Arabidopsis thaliana: one gene and its partner. The protein of the gene in region 2 interacts with the protein of the main gene of each other region in a pairwise test. Each region holds a gene or a part of one and is shown on either strand. Other genes may lie near its edges.

The links.
Region 1: the proteins of SHI (region 2) and BRC1 interact in a two-hybrid assay, tested with the Arabidopsis thaliana proteins (one large-scale study listed by BioGRID).

What each region holds. Positions count from the first base shown.
Region 1 is NC_003074.8:6,379,381-6,387,692, forward strand, and holds BRC1 (TCP family transcription factor), read left to right. Parts: upstream 1-3,908; 5' UTR 3,909-4,046; intron 4,047-4,127; exon of another isoform or gene 4,128-4,156; 5' UTR 4,157-4,388; coding exon 4,389-5,061; intron 5,062-5,165; coding exon 5,166-5,261; intron 5,262-5,354; coding exon 5,355-5,890; 3' UTR 5,891-6,143; coding exon of another isoform or gene 6,144-6,224; 3' UTR 6,225-6,435; downstream 6,436-8,312. UniProt on the Arabidopsis thaliana protein: Transcription factor that prevents axillary bud outgrowth and delays early axillary bud development. Indirectly required for the auxin-induced control of apical dominance.
Region 2 is NC_003076.8:26,503,497-26,511,808, reverse strand, and holds the start of SHI (Lateral root primordium (LRP) protein-like protein), read left to right. Parts: upstream 1-4,999; 5' UTR 5,000-5,665; coding exon 5,666-6,287; intron 6,288-6,721; coding exon 6,722-7,063; coding exon of another isoform or gene 7,064-7,095; exon of another isoform or gene 7,096-7,291; coding exon of another isoform or gene 7,292-7,308; exon of another isoform or gene 7,309-7,868; intron 7,869-8,312. Other genes in the region: DIM1B (Ribosomal RNA adenine dimethylase family protein), read right to left, coding at 98-817, 1,058-1,480. UniProt on the Arabidopsis thaliana protein: Transcription activator that binds DNA on 5'-ACTCTAC-3' and promotes auxin homeostasis-regulating gene expression (e.g. YUC genes), as well as genes affecting stamen development, cell expansion and timing of flowering.

The DNA.
Region 1 (8,312 bases), on a different chromosome or scaffold from region 2:
CGGTCGTATAGCTACTTACACTTGGATATATGCATATATGTTTCTAATAAAACTTAGGCATTCTGTGTTTTCAATTGCTATTATATTTATATGATCAATATGAAGATGTGTTCATTTACTTTTATATATATAAACAATAATATGAAAATGTGGTGTTGTCAAATCTCCTTAACTTAAGCGTGAAAGTAGAAACATAGGCTATCTCTATCCCTAAACCTCAAAGAAGCTCTACATCAACTTGTTACTCATCCCATTAAGCTTGTCGCGATAATTTGTTCGATTCGCTAAGAAATAATATTTGATATAGAACCATTTCTCTTCATTCCTGTAAACGAAAGTGAGATAACCAACTTAAAATTTATGATGTATTTTACAAAAGGCGATTGTAATTGAATTATTAATAAAATCGTTTGAACCGAGATAGTATGTTTAGACTAACGTTTTAATAAACGTTTCAAGCTGTTTAAAAAAAAAATTAGAGGATGATTTTCATAATTCTATTTCAGACTTATTAGTTGAAATTTTGTGACTAATTGAAAAAAAAAATTGGTGACGCTTTATTCAGAAATTTTGTGGCGACATTTGAATTTCTAGTATACCTACACAAATTTGTAAAGTAGCAATCTTTTCTTTTCTTAGAGAATTATTATTTAATTTCGTTGTCGTCCAAACAAGAAAATTCTAGATTCGTTTTTTGTGATCTCGAGAATTTTAGGAAAAAAAAACTTTTTTTTTTGGGGGCAAATGAAAAAAAATAACTAAAATGAAGAATATGAAAAGGAAGAAAAGTCAATATTGAGTATGCCTGTGAAATTAAAAAAGTGGAGACAAACACATAATTTTCCAGACACATTTCCATGAAAGGAAATTGCGCGAATGAATGGTAATCTAAAAGAGCATTGACTCTCTTTGCTATATATAGAAAATGATTCATTATCAACCTAAGAACCACACAAATACCAAAAGAAAAAAAAAGTTGACAACCCATTATACAAAGTAAAAATAAATTTTGTACTTTGAGAATGATGATAATGAGTGACTGAGATTTGTAACCAACAACTTTGGCAATAGATAGATAATATAACACATAATGAAAGCACTCAGGGCATCAATGCCAAACTTTTGTAAGGAAAAAAAAAAAGATTGAAAGACTAACCAAAGATTGAAACTTAAATTTTGATTCTCACTAATAAACAACTTAAAATTGTTATTAAAAGAAACAAACTCAAAATTGGTGATATGATATATGTTGTTGTCTTCTTCATGGGTTATTAGAAAGAAGAACTGAAAGCAACCTTAGAAGAAGCCAGCGAGTCCAACCATTATAGTCATGTGGTCCTCCTGATAATTGCAGGCCTAGAGATAGAGAGAGAGGGAAGAGAGATAAAGAAGAAAGAGCATGGGATGTGGTGGATAATTAGGCGGAGAAGGCGGCATGTATAAATGGAAAGAGTGGATAACAATGGATGACCAAAATAGGAGTTTTTATTTACAATGATAGTGTTTCATCTTTGCACGTAACTCCTAAGTTTGTACTTTACCTACGTGCATGTATATAGATGTGGATTAGTGACTTTTATCTCTTGTTAGTTATTTCTAAAAACATGCATCACATCACTTAACACAGCTGACAAGGTCAACATAACTACCTAATTAATAAACTCTTAACGACCGTTAACCGTATTAACTTCTAACTTCTAATATTGCTTTTAAGCGAAGAGATATTTCTAAAATATGTTTTTTTCACAAAAATACAAGGGAAAATAATGATACAAAAGCTTACAAGATAAGCACGAGAGAGAAAAGAGGTTCTCTTTTTAGCGAAAGCGACTTCTAAGTTATAACATAAGTATGAGAGAGTGTGTGTGTGAGAGAGAGAGTCAAAAGAAAATAAAAGATTGGTCGGTCATGCAATACTGAACAGAGAGGCAAAGCTTTTTTCTTTTCTTCCTAAAATTATTGCAGCCTTCTTTTCTTAGGGCTTCACACAGCCACGTGCATTCCTCCAATTTGAAAATGAAACTTTGTATTTTAACTCTCCTATAGCAAAAAGATTATTTTCTCCATATCATGAAAATCAATGTCTTAGAGCTAGGAAGAAGGATTTTGTGATATGAGACCAAAAATTCCAATCCGAGTTTTGATCTTGTTTTCAAGTTTTGTATCACAAATATGAAAACAAAGAGATGTTTTTTGTTTCTTTACATAAAAAAAAAGAAGAGAAATTCTTTTTTTTTTTTTTGGTAAAAGAAGAGAAGAGAAATTCGTCCAATGCGTTCGTCAGTTTTGCTATTTGAACTCAATTGGATTCCAATAAGTCTACGTAAGAAAAAGGAGCTACCCTTTTTTACTAATAATTTACAGAAGAGGATGTTGCATAACAATCAATTTAGAACAATCATCTATGTCTATACTTAATTTTGAGAAACATCCATGATGGATATAAATTGTTATAACAGTGTTTAAATTTATTTGATATTCTCAATAATATATATATATATATATATATTATAATATAAGAATTCATATTTTATACTTTAAAATACAATTAATAATATTTTACAACAATAAATAAATGTATTTAAACCTAAAAGTTGGCACAAGAAAATGGAATTAAAAAATATTACTGATCTGTATGGTTTTCTTGAGGGATCGCCATGATTGATGATTCAGTTTTTACAACCCATTCAGTTCGATAGATTATCTAATATAAGATTTTTTTGTCAAATATTTTTTTTGATCTAGTATAAGTTTTTTATTTATGAAACAACAAATAAAAGATTTGGACTTAAGAATGGATAGAAGTTTTGGAATAACAATATTTGTGTCCTATGTATAAAAATTATTAGATAGAGATACAAAAATTGTTATCTGAACAAATGCAATATATCAATAGTTAGTGTACATATGAAGTCATAAGAATTACACCAAAATACTCTTTAAAAATATGAAAAAGTTGTTTATAGTGTTTTGAAAAATACCACCAAACAAAACTTTATAATTTTATTTGACCTTAGTTCTTTCTTACGGTGAAATGCAAATCAATATTTTATATATATTTTAATTATATATTCCTTGTTCCTATTTCCTTTAGACATAATCTAAAATCTTCTAACTTTTCTTCTATTAATCCTTTTCCAAATAAAGGCATAACTAATAATAAAATTTATCCTTAATTTTATCTCATATTTATTTCTATTCAACTTTTTATTTTGATCTTCTTAATATGCAAACATACATTTATATGTCTATTTTTGGGTGAAATTAAATCTCATTACCTTTTATTTCTTTCATTTAGTTATACCTTGATCTTTATCTACTAAAAATATTAAAAAATATAATCAATGTGGAAAAATCTATCTAACTAAATTTTAAATGTCATTTCAATAATTTAAATAAAGATCTGTTTATTTAAAGTGAAATGTTAATGTAATTGGTAAATATATGTTCTGTCAAGAAACTGTAATATTAATTATTCTAGCTAAATCCTAAAGTTATAACATATATTCTATAGTAAATACAGTGAAATATTTTATATTGAATTAACTATTTTTAGGCATCTTTTAGTGCATGCTATTAATTTTAAAGATATATACAATCTTTGATTAGTTGAAATATAGCTGTCAACAATTTAATATCTATCAAATAATTATACTGAGTTCTTATCTACATATTAGTAATGAACTATCTCAAAGAAATATAAGAACATAAACAAACACAAGGTCCTAATTATAGAAAAAAATCTTGATAATCAAATAAAACGAACATCTATTATCACATTTTCACAAAAAACAAAAACGAATATATTTTTATCATGCCGAAGCTAGGAATTAAGAAAAATATATAAACAAAATAAATGCTTTTTCAAAGGCTTATATGTTGTTCCTTCCCCCATAATGATCTCTTTGCCTCTCTCTCCATATAGCTCTCCCTCTCTCTCTCTTTTTCTCTCTCTTTCTCTCCATTCTAGTTCATAGCACATAGACTCATTTAAGTACGTCGCCTGTGTTGTCTTTCTCAACCATTAGTCCTTTGCTTCGATAAAGGTATTCTCTCTCTACACATTTAGACACACACATAGATTCTCTAGAACAAAGACATATTGTACTATCTGACTAATCACTATTACTGCTCTTTTTTTTTCTTGATTTTGCAGGCTAAGGAAAAAAAGAAATCTCTCTTTCTAATTTTCTTGTTTTCATTTTGGTTGAGACTTGAGATCAATGTCTTCGTCATTGGAACAGTAACCTTTCTCTTTGATTCAAACTTTCTTTCATTTTCTTCTCTTTTTTCTTGTGTGTCTGAAGAAGATTATAGTACAAGTGTCATTCTCAAAATTTTGTCTTAGGGTTTTTTAATTTTGTTACTTCAAAAACCCCTAAAAAGGCATGAACAACAACATTTTCAGTACTACTACCACCATCAATGACGACTACATGTTATTCCCTTATAATGACCATTATTCCTCACAACCATTGCTCCCTTTTAGCCCTTCTTCTTCCATTAACGACATCTTGATTCACTCCACCTCTAACACATCAAACAATCATCTTGACCATCATCATCAATTCCAACAACCTTCTCCTTTTTCTCACTTCGAATTTGCCCCGGACTGCGCCCTCCTCACCTCTTTCCACCCAGAAAACAATGGCCATGATGATAACCAAACCATCCCAAACGACAATCATCATCCATCACTTCACTTTCCCTTGAACAACACCATTGTAGAACAACCCACTGAGCCCTCGGAAACTATAAACCTTATAGAAGATTCCCAGAGAATCTCAACTTCTCAAGACCCAAAAATGAAAAAAGCCAAGAAACCCAGCAGAACGGACAGGCACAGCAAGATCAAAACGGCCAAAGGGACACGAGATCGTAGGATGAGACTCTCGCTAGATGTCGCCAAAGAGTTGTTTGGCTTACAAGACATGCTTGGATTTGACAAAGCCAGCAAAACCGTTGAATGGTTGCTTACACAAGCAAAACCTGAGATCATAAAGATCGCGACAACCCTTTCTCACCATGGCTGCTTCAGCAGCGGCGATGAGTCTCATATCCGTAAGTATCCATTCTTTTCTAGTTTTAAGTCTATTCAAGTTTTCAACTTCTATGAATTTTTTTATATCATAATCTGAAAATTGTAAATTTCCTAATTAATTAAGGACCGGTGTTAGGATCCATGGACACATCTTCTGATCTATGTGAACTTGCATCCATGTGGACGGTCGACGATAGAGGCAGCAATACTAACACGACCGGTACGACCTTAACCGTTGCCTTTCTGATTTACAATTATATATAGAGTACTTTCTATCAAAATGTTACAAAAGATAAATTATCTTATACATTAGAAACAAGAGGAAACAAGGTCGATGGGAGATCGATGAGAGGGAAGAGAAAGAGGCCAGAACCGCGAACGCCCATTTTAAAGAAGTTGTCCAAGGAGGAGAGAGCGAAAGCTAGAGAAAGAGCAAAGGGTAGAACAATGGAGAAAATGATGATGAAGATGAAAGGAAGATCACAATTAGTGAAAGTTGTGGAAGAAGACGCTCATGATCATGGTGAGATAATAAAGAATAATAATAGAAGCCAAGTGAATCGGAGTTCTTTTGAGATGACACACTGCGAAGACAAGATCGAAGAACTTTGCAAGAACGATCGTTTTGCAGTTTGCAACGAATTTATCATGAATAAGAAAGATCACATTTCAAATGAATCTTATGACTTAGTCAACTACAAACCGAACTCATCATTCCCAGTGATTAACCACCATCGCAGCCAAGGAGCAGCTAATTCCATTGAGGTACCTTATTTATATCTACGAGTCACATTTATAATTTTTATGAGTTTTTTTCCAATGGTTTTATCTAAAGCTATACACAGTTAATTCAAGTTTTAGAGGTAGGGTATATCAAATTCAATGACACTAATGCACCACCATCGATTAATTAATGCTATATATAGTTTAATTAGAAGTTAGTTTTTGTGTTTTGTGGATTGGTACTTGGTTATTACTATCTAGTTCCACATCAGCGATTCAAAGGCGCCGGTTTTTTTTAACTGACTTGGTTATACTATTATGGTTTTTATTGTTCAAATTTTCATCGATTTTTTTTTTTTTGGGGCTATGTACCTTGCAGCAGCATCAGTTTACGGATCTTCATTACTCCTTCGGCGCGAAACCAAGAGACCTCATGCACAACTATCAAAACATGTATTGAAACTGATTTCATTTAACATTAATATCTCAAATTAATGATATATAGTTTGGTGAGAGAGATATGTTAATCCATCTTATGTTTTTTTTTCTTAACATCGTAATTAATCATGTTTATATGAAGGCTTTTTCGTCATTTTAGTGTCAAATATTAAACCTATGTGAAGAAATTAATGCAATTTGTATAATATTTTGTTTTCATAGTTCGAGTGGATTTTTAACTGATATGTATCCTTTAAACGTTGTTTGTTAATATTATCTCTGTGTTGTTAAGTTTGTCTATCGTTTGCTTTTAGGAATACAACAAATGACAAAAACAAAAGGAAACGTGACAAACTGATGACAAAATTATATAAGTTAAGATTCATGATTCAATACATTCTCAATCTATATTCCTTCTGAGACCTGGACGTCAGTTCTAGTAATCAGGCAATTCAAAACCTTTCAAGCCTATTAAGTTAAATGCGATCGACAAACGTATCGGGTATCACTAGGCTTGTGATCTATGTATAAGTGGGTTAACGTACATTGTATACAGACAAGTTCATATATGCGTAATTTGTGTAATATATTACGTGGAAACTTTATCATTTTCAAATATATTTTTTATAACTGATGTGAAGCTATTTGCTTTTTCCCTTAACCAATGATAAGTTCTGCTCTAATAAATCGAAATGTCTTGGGAGTAGTAAGTTACTTCTCTATTGTGATAAGTTTGAGTTACTTAATTTGGAGAGTTTGGTTTACTCAGTTTGGTATATCATGTTCCCTAACTAGAGTTTCCATGATAAATATTAATTATTATAAACAAATTAAAATTATATACAGTACTTCTAGATAGATCCTACAAGGGGTTAAAAGTTATGAAACCTGATGATATGTTGCACTAATTAAGCTGTTGGTCTTTGTAGTTTGTATTCCACATTTATGCTATAATAGGTTGCTATCAAACCTTGGGTGGTCGTTGTTGTTGTAGACCGGCGTGGGAAAATGTCAAATCATCCAAAATTACACAACTGTGAGCTTCAGACCACACATGCCGGTATATTCTACCCTTGAAATATACATAAATATATGTGTACATATATATATATATATATATATATATATTATGTTAAAGTTAATTTGCATAAAGAGAAATTTAAAAAGGTTTTGTGAATATAAGACATTAATTTTTTTTAAGCATTAAGCCATTTTCCAATTAAAATAATAGTTGTGTCTTTATGATTTTTATGAAAAAAACTTTTTTCTATGATAAATTTACAAAATGCATATTTTCACAGTTCTCTTATGAAACCTCTTTTTTGTGAAAATCTCATTATGTTTGTTTTCCTATATTAGCTACCTTGGTTCCCAACTTTTTCTTTGGTCTATGATTTGGCGTTTGCTCCTAAGAACGCACACATGCGTCCATATCACTAGAAAAAAAAAAACTAGAAAAAAAAAACTACTAAAATATCTAGTAAAATTCATCTACAGCCTCATAAAGTTTCGTTATTTATCAGAATTAAAATTTTATATAGGCATCTGATACTAAGACATTGACTGTAATATATATATATACTAATATCAGATGTGGAAACTTGATACATAAGAGCTATTATGGAACTTTTTTGGTTATCAATAAAAAAATTGAGCCTCTATGGATGACATAATTATTAAAGTAACTAAACTAGAAATTATAATTTGAATTACAATGCTTTATAAAAGTTGAGTCAAGATGTTTGAATTGTGTCTTAGTTAATTTGCAAACACACATGATGATATACATGGATCCATTAATATTACATCTTAGCCCCAAACATAAAAGACAATGTGGGGAGGATTAATTTAGTGTTTTGTTTTTAATGTGAAGTTTGATTTGATTGTACTAGTTCCTAGACAATTAATTAAGTACTGGAGGAAGAGATTATAGCGCAGTAAGGGATTAAAGAAGTCCCAAACACGAAGTGTCCAAATATTAGGAAGGAATATATATGGAAAATGTAAAAACTACTTCAATGACATTGAGATCATTGAAATGACAAAAGTAAGTTAAAAGAATAAAGAGACATTTGAGAAAGAGAAAAATGAACAAGTACACAAAGAAAAA
Region 2 (8,312 bases):
CTGCATTAAGTAGCTTTTACTGTAATCTTCCAATTTGTAAGAAAAATAAATTCAAAGGGTTCGACCAAAAACATAAAACATTAAAGAAAACTTATCATTATTCGTGTAGATCCATTTGTAATGATGTAATATCATGGAAAAAAATTCCAGCTTGGTTAAACAAAGAAAGCAAATGTAACAACTCACGATGTGAAAGCTTGGATGGTCTCTTCTCTTCGAACCCATTTGTTCTCAGAATTTCAATTACCCTTTCCTTGAACATACTTGCATCTGTATCCAAACACAACAAATCATCTTTCCCATCTTCTTCAACATCACTGTCAGAATCACCACCTGTCTGATTCATAACCTCAACATTCGAGCCATGCCTCCCTGCAGACAAACTCTGCAATTCCATGACCTTTTTCTTCTGCCTAAACATGGAACCAAGCGTCTTATTCTTCTTCCCGAAACACGTGCGAGTGAATGCCAACCATTCTTGAACATTAACATCCGGTATTATCTCCTTTGGTGTAATCCTAATTACAGATGAATCAACTTTAGGAGGTGGAACAAACTCTCTTTTACTTACATCCATCACAAATTTAACATCAGCTACTAACTTAACGTTCACCGCCAATCTATTGAAATCGGAATCTCCTGGATTTGCCAGGAGCCGGCGGGAGAATTCCTTTTGAAGCAAGAGTGTGGCGCTTCGAAAAGTATTGGAGCCGTATACAAGCTTGGCCACAAGAGGGGAAGATATGTTGTAAGGAATATTTGCAACCACGAGATCAAAGTGAGGAAAATCTGTCTTCAGAACATCTTTTTGAATAATCTATAGAATCCAACCACAAGAGAATAAGTGAAAAAGAGAGAGCGTTAGTGAATGTAGTTCCCTATTATTTCTCTTCGGCATTTTATCGAACAGGTTGTGTGCGCTTAGAAACTAATCCACAAAAACAAATAATTTCGTTCCCTAATCCAATCCTAGCAACAACAATAAGGCCCTTACATGTCCAAACCTAAATGAATTCTCAATTTATCGACGGCATCTCAATGAAGTAGCAGGATTTACCGTAAGTTTATCTGCAAAACCATGGTCAGAAACCCTTTTGCGTAGAATCTCCACCATACGCTTATCTAGCTCGACGGCTACGACATTCTGAGCAGCTTCAAGAAGTTTCATCGTGAGATTTCCAGTGCCAGGTCCGATCTCCAAGACTGTATCAGTCGGCCTGATATCGGAGCTTCGAACAATGGAGTCGAGGATTCTAGTGTTGGTAAGAAGGTGTTGGCCTTTGCTCTTGCACAGAAACAATCCATCGTGTTCCTTCTTCTCCTCGATTCTCACATCCCTCTCGTATCCTCTTCTCCGGCGGTCGTGATCGGGTTTTGTCCGAGCCTGCGAGTGAGAATCTCGTCGGAAAACTAAGGAAGATAAGTACGAACGAGTTGAATTGATTTTGATGAGCGTTTGGTCTTTCAATCGAAGAATCATCACTTTGCTTCAGTCACGAAATATAGCTCGGCGTCGTTATCATCCCACGAAATCGCCGGTGACAGGAATCCAAAGCGGAAACTTCCGAGCGTTTGAAGGAGATCCTTGTGGCCTTGTGGGCCAATTGTTTATATGCTTCTCAAATATTCCTTTAGCCCAAGGCCCAATTATTTTTTATTTCTTCACGACGCTTATCTTAATTCTTAATCATCCAATTGGCGTAGACTTTTACTTATATGTACATCCATAGATTGATTGATTGTAAAATAAAAGAAAAAGAACAAAAAATGATGGATATAGAATTTTGGACCACGCTAGTGGACTACGTACTCAAATGGTAACGTGAGAGCCATGAAGTCGTCTAATTATTTGGAAGAACATAAAGTTTGAAAATTCATATAATCTTGAAAAGAAAGCATGACGTTGCCAAGTTACTATTCTCGTCGGTGTAATTGCTATCTCTTTTCTACATGATCGGACGGTATATATGCTTCCTTTTGTCCCTTCCATCCAAATTTTGATTTATTGTGTAAACATATATATCTTTCAGTTGATTTTTTCATTATCATGACATCTGTCAACACTCTCTACTTTACATTATATCACCTCAGTCACACACCACTCTTTTCTTGATTAATTCCCTATGGTACTCATATGAAAATGTTAAAATTAAGCAAAATAAACACACACAAAAAACAAAATAATGTGTATTATCACATGAAAAAGCGTCACAATTCGATTCAGTTTCTTTTGGTGTTTTTATTTCTCCTATGATGGATACATGTGTTGAAAACTGTATCAGCTTCAGAAGAACATGCTATAAATATAAAGGCTAGCCTTATAATTTAGGGTTTGTAACTTCGGAATTAACAATAATAGAGTAATTAAGAAAATTAGGCGTGAAAAATAGTGGTCCACTTTTTTTACAGCAGCCTCTATACTATAACTTTGATACCACCCTTCGTTTCTAGTGTGGGGGATTTTCAATAACCCATGAGCACCCGATCTATCAACTTAGTTATATCTTGCCATTTTTCAACATACAACAGCAAAACTGTTTTGGTTGAGTTTTGCGAGTTTGTTATGTGATTCACGTTTGTTTTAGTGAAATTTTGGGTTAAAGTAAGTCGAGTGGATTATATAAGTAGATTTTGTCGCATCTAATAACTCAGTTGATATATCAGCTTAGAAAGACTATACGCGTCTCTGCATGTGCATGAGCATGAGCATGAGCATGGCATTTGGAGGAACCATGACTCCACTTCCTTGGGACCCACATGAACCAAATCACTCTCTATGTTTTTTCTTTCTTCCTTTATTCAATGATGCAATCTTCTCTTGAGCAATGAGAAACATATAATCATTAATATACATAAATGTAAAGGGGGCCTTTGAAGGTGAAATGGGATCCATATGGAACACATAGTTTATGAAATCTATTTCTGAAAACGGATATGTAGTATATAAAAAAGTGTACATTTCATTTAAGTTTTACCCAACTTTGCAGCTTCTCAAGAGATTTTGTGGTGAAAGACAGTCTTTGTTTATTATTTTGTGAAGAGATACAGAATACACATAAATTACTATTGAGTAAAGGAGGATGCAAGGGGGAAAAAAGTTGCAAGAATCTCTAAGCTCCGTTATTGGCTCCAAAGAAAAGAAACATAACCCACCAAATCTTTTATGTCCTTTTTCAGTTTCAAAGTTGAAGAGAAAAGGAGAGATTTAAAAGAGTGTAGAAGAGCAATGAATGGGTGAAAGTGAAAAAAACAAATCAGTGCGTGCTTCTTTTGTAGTAAACACTCTTCTCTTTCTGCCTATGTAAGAAAAATATATATTAAGAAGTGATTTTCTCTTTATTGGTAATAATGTGTAATTGTGTACAAGTGATATTTAGAAGCCAACAAACACTATGCTCCAAACTTACTTTTCTTTATTCTCTAGTTTATAAAGTTCTTTCCACATTTCCATGTTTTCTTATTGATAATGGGCATAACATACATTCTAAATCTCCAAAAGATGGTACCGGGGTCAAGTAGAATGGTAGATGACTAGATGCGTTTGAAGTGCAGATATTTGGCAGAAAAGGTAGTGGAAACAATTTCAACGTTTTTAGAAAAATTGCTAGGACATGAAATGGAAGGTTAAATAGTTAAGAAAATGTTAGTAACTTTACCTAAATTTGTATAAATTATGACACTGAAAACTTAAAGAAAAGAAGAACACAGTGCTCGAGAAGATACTTTAAACCTTTTCTTTTGGAAAAAAAAGACTATTCTATTTGTACTAATTTCAAGATTCAAACTCCAAAATAAAAGAAATTTAATAGTTTTGGCTCATGGTGAGTCTTTCATTATGCGAGTTTGTTGCTATTTGCAAAGATAATCGATGTTACCAATACATTTGGAATTTATGGATTTGTAATTTAGTTATATACAAGAATAAAATCCGAGAGAATGTCACTGTCCCTTTTGCCCACTCCCTCTCTTAATTTCTCGGTCCTAAATGATTGCATATATTCATCGAACTCTATCCCCAATTTTCTTCTCCTCTATTTCAGTCACTCATAATTTTTGCATTCAACAAAGTACAAACCCTCACATACATTAAGATTGTCATAACAAGAAAACCATTAAAACATCCAAATTGATTTCTGAAATTTACAGCTTCTAGATCAAATTTAAAGTTGTCTTTTATACTCTATTTCATAGATACACATTAACATTGTTTACAATACGGTGAAGAGGTTGGATAGATGATTTTGCTGATTGTTTATGTCAACAATAACTTTCATCCATTTCATAAATACATGTATTTTTTACAACCTCACTTTCATTAAATGTATTCTCTCTTTTACACAACAGTGGGTATTTCCACTAGGAAATGACTATAGTGCCCCTCTTCTTATTAGTCAACTCTCCATATCCTTTTGGAAAAATCCATGAACTATCTTCAGTTTTTTACTTTGTCTGTAGTTTGATATTCTGAAACAACTGAAATTCGTTAAAATTTGGAATGATTAATTGGTCAATTAAATTAAGATTCATGGGGTATAGGTATACGGGACAATTGATATACATCAGTGTATGTATTGTATACATAATTAAATATTTTAATACTATCAGGTGTTCATTATTAAAGTTTGTATATATAATGATAAAAATAACAGAGTAGTAATTTGCTTCCTTGGAAACATGGATAAGCAACTGTTTTCCAGCTGCGAACTTTAGGCACTTAATTTTAAAGTCACAGGTATACACTACGCAACCAAAGCAAGATTTCGCTAATAATAATTAAAATTGCATCGAATCTAACTAAAGAATCTAAAAATACAAGTATACCCAGTCCCCAACGTTGTGTAGGACGATATATGATTATAAAGTTTTAGTTTAGATATTACATAACTATAGATTTCTCATAAATAAAGAAATCTTCCGTTCATTTCACTAAAATATCGTTCGAACAAATAATACACAGATTAATATCTAAACGTAAATCATATAAACAAATAGTGTAGGATTTAATTATAGTAGCATTTTGGCAAACACAAACAGACAAACAAAGGAAGAGGCAGCGTGTTTTCCGGTAGAGAAAAGACGGAGAGAGTAAAAGCCGAAGTTGTAAACGTGGCAACATATTGACCGCAGGATCTAAAACACGTGATGATCAACGGTAAGATATATCTTGTCCGAGAAGTGTTTTGTGATATTAATTGGTGTAAGGAAAATCTGGAAAACAAACAAAAAAGAAAAGAGAGACAGAGAATTTAATAAGAGAGGAAGAGTATTAAGGTGATGGCGGCGTTGCAGAGCGCGAGACAGAGAAAGAAACCTCTCTGAGATACATCTCTCTCTCTCTCTCTATCCCCTCTTAAATACACTCCATACCGACAAACCAACTTTTTTCTCAGTACTAAAAGAAACCTCTATTCGATTTCTAAACAAACCCTAGATATAGACTACTCTACATTCTTCCATTAAGTTAATCTCTTTCGTCTTCTTCTTCTTCATCCTCTCATAATTAAAGATCTCTATCAAGAGAGAGATCTTTTATTGTCTTCTTCTGTTAAAATCTTTTGATAGATCTTCACTCTCTGAAAGTCAAGATCTTAGTCTAGGCAAGTAAATATGTGGTAAAGCAAAGCCCTTCTTGAAATTGGTCATATATGGCTGGTGGTATCGGAAAATGGCAGGATTTTTCTCGTTAGGACACGGCGGAGGAGGAAACACTCCAGACAACCACAGAACAAACACTAATAATCCTTCTTCATCGGGAACAGAATCTTGGCTTTGGTGCAGAAACCCTAACTCTAACGCTGACGGTGGAGAAGCTGGTCCTTCTTACAAAGGAACCCTTGAGCTATGGCAACACCCAAACAATCAAGAAATCATTTTCCAGCAGCAGCAGCAACAGCAACAAAGGCTGGATCTTTACACTTCCGCTGCGGGTTTAGGTGTTGGACCGAGCAACCGGAGCTTAATTGAAACTTCCGGCGGTGCGTTGATGATGATGAGAAGCGGTAGCGGTAGCGGCGGACCAAGCTGCCAGGATTGTGGGAATCAATCTAAGAAAGACTGCTCTCACATGAGATGTAGGACTTGCTGCAAGAGCCGTGGCCTTGACTGTCCCACTCACGTGAAGAGCACGTGGGTTCCTGCCGCTAAACGCCGAGAACGCCAGCAGCAGCTTTCTACCGGTCAGCAACCGCAGCAACTGGGAGGGAGCGTCCCTAAACGACAGAGAGAGCGTATCCCGGCGAGATCGACTTCCATGGCCTACACTCGTATACCTTCTAACAACACTTCAGGTATTTCATAATATCTCTTTATGGTTATTCACCCCTGAATGAAAATTAAAGTAATGAGCTTTGAATAACTTGAGTTATTAGTTTCAATTGCAGAAACAGAAACCCTATTTTGATCAGCTTTTTTTGTTCTTCTTTTTTCATTTTCAAGAAAAAAAAAAGGTGAACGATTTTCTTCTTCCTATTTTTTTTTTTTAATATGGAAATACTGTAGATCAGTAAGACTGACTCTTGGAATGACAGGAAGAAACTGTTCTCACTGATCTTGATATTTGTGTTTATATCCTGTAATTATTAAGTTTTTGTTTATTTGTTTGTTAATGCTGTAATTATTAATTTGAGTTAAGATAAAAACAAACAAACAAATCATACGTTGAAAATACTCCTACGATTTTTTCTTATAATTAACAATAATTAATTAAATGTTTTCTATCTAGGGTTGGAGGTTGGGAATTTTCCGCCGGAAGTTAGCTCGTCGGCAGTTTTTCGGTGCGTGCGTGTGAGTTCCGTAGATGATGAAGAAGAAGAGTATGCATATAAAACAGCTGTGAGTATAGGCGGTCACGTCTTCAAAGGTGTTCTCTACGATCAAGGCCCGGCCGAGAGAAGCTCCTCGGGCGGTGGATCTCAGCCGTTGAATCTCATAACCGCAGGCCCATCGGCCTCATCATCAAGCCCAAACGTGAGCTGCAACAATGGAGTCGTTGGCTCCACTTCAGATCATTATATCGATCCTGCCTCACTTAATTATCCTACTCCCATTAACACTTTCATGACTGGTACGCACTTCTTCTCCAACTCAAGATCTTGAATTCCACACAGAGAGAGTACAACAAATCATAACTTTTTTTTAGATTCTTACGGTAGAATTAGGGTTTTAAAACATCTTCGGAGGTGAAGATTATAACGTACTAATCTTGGTTTTCAAAAGTAATTAACTAAGGGAGATAATGTTCTATTAAAACAATTGTTACCTGATCTTTTATTATTAAGTTCAAATTTTGTAGGTATAATGTTAATGTAATAGTATACTCCAATTTTCAACTGTTACAAAAGTCAACGACCCTGTCTCTGTGAAAGCTCACATCAAAAGCAAGATTTGCAGCTGGCAGTTTTCAACTGTGATCGTTAAACTCAGCCTTGTTTTATTGTCAGCTTTTCACATTACTCTTTTTTTAGGTTTACTTTAACATTAATTTACCTTTCAAATTACTACTTTAGGTCAATTAATTGCAATTATGATTTGCCTGTAGAAATATTAATGTGAAAAACAAGGTTACAAAATTGAAATTTGGGTGAAGACATGTATTTAGGTGTCTTGTGCTTTTGGTCAACAAATCAGACACACTAGCACAGGTATATCGTTCGTCTACGACTACTATATATCCGGCAATATGCCATACCCTAATCTTAAGTTTTATTCAGTTTGAGCCGTTTTTAAAGTGATGCTCTCATTCCTATGATTGATATAATGTCAGTACACTTACATTTGAAGAGAGACTTACTGCCACATCCGACTCTTTACATTATTTTTTATATATATATATCCTGATAGCCAGTTTCTCCATATTTCTATCTTACATAGTTTTCACATCGTACGTTACGGTGTATTTTTTAGCCACATCTGAAGGGGCTTTACTATACAAATCTCAAATGCAATCCCCAAAATCTGACAAGCAGTGAGACTGTATGTGTATTTTGATTCTTTTGTTACAACGAGTGAGGCTGTAAATTCGGCAGATTATGAGTGAGTGGGGGAACAGAAAAAGGTGTAAAATTGGTATGCATCTTTATTTCTGCAGGTGTTTATGTTTGGACCTAAAAAAACTCTTCTTTCCCAATTCATTTCTTAGGCTCTCTTTTTCATTATTCAATTTACGTCACCTCAAGAAAGCCATGATGATAACGAGATGCAAAAAGAATCGGAAAACGAGCTAACATTATAATAACTCATTAGGATTAAAATTTAATTAAGTGTTGCATGGAGTTGTGAAGACTTGTAAAAAAGATGCACACAAATCATGCATT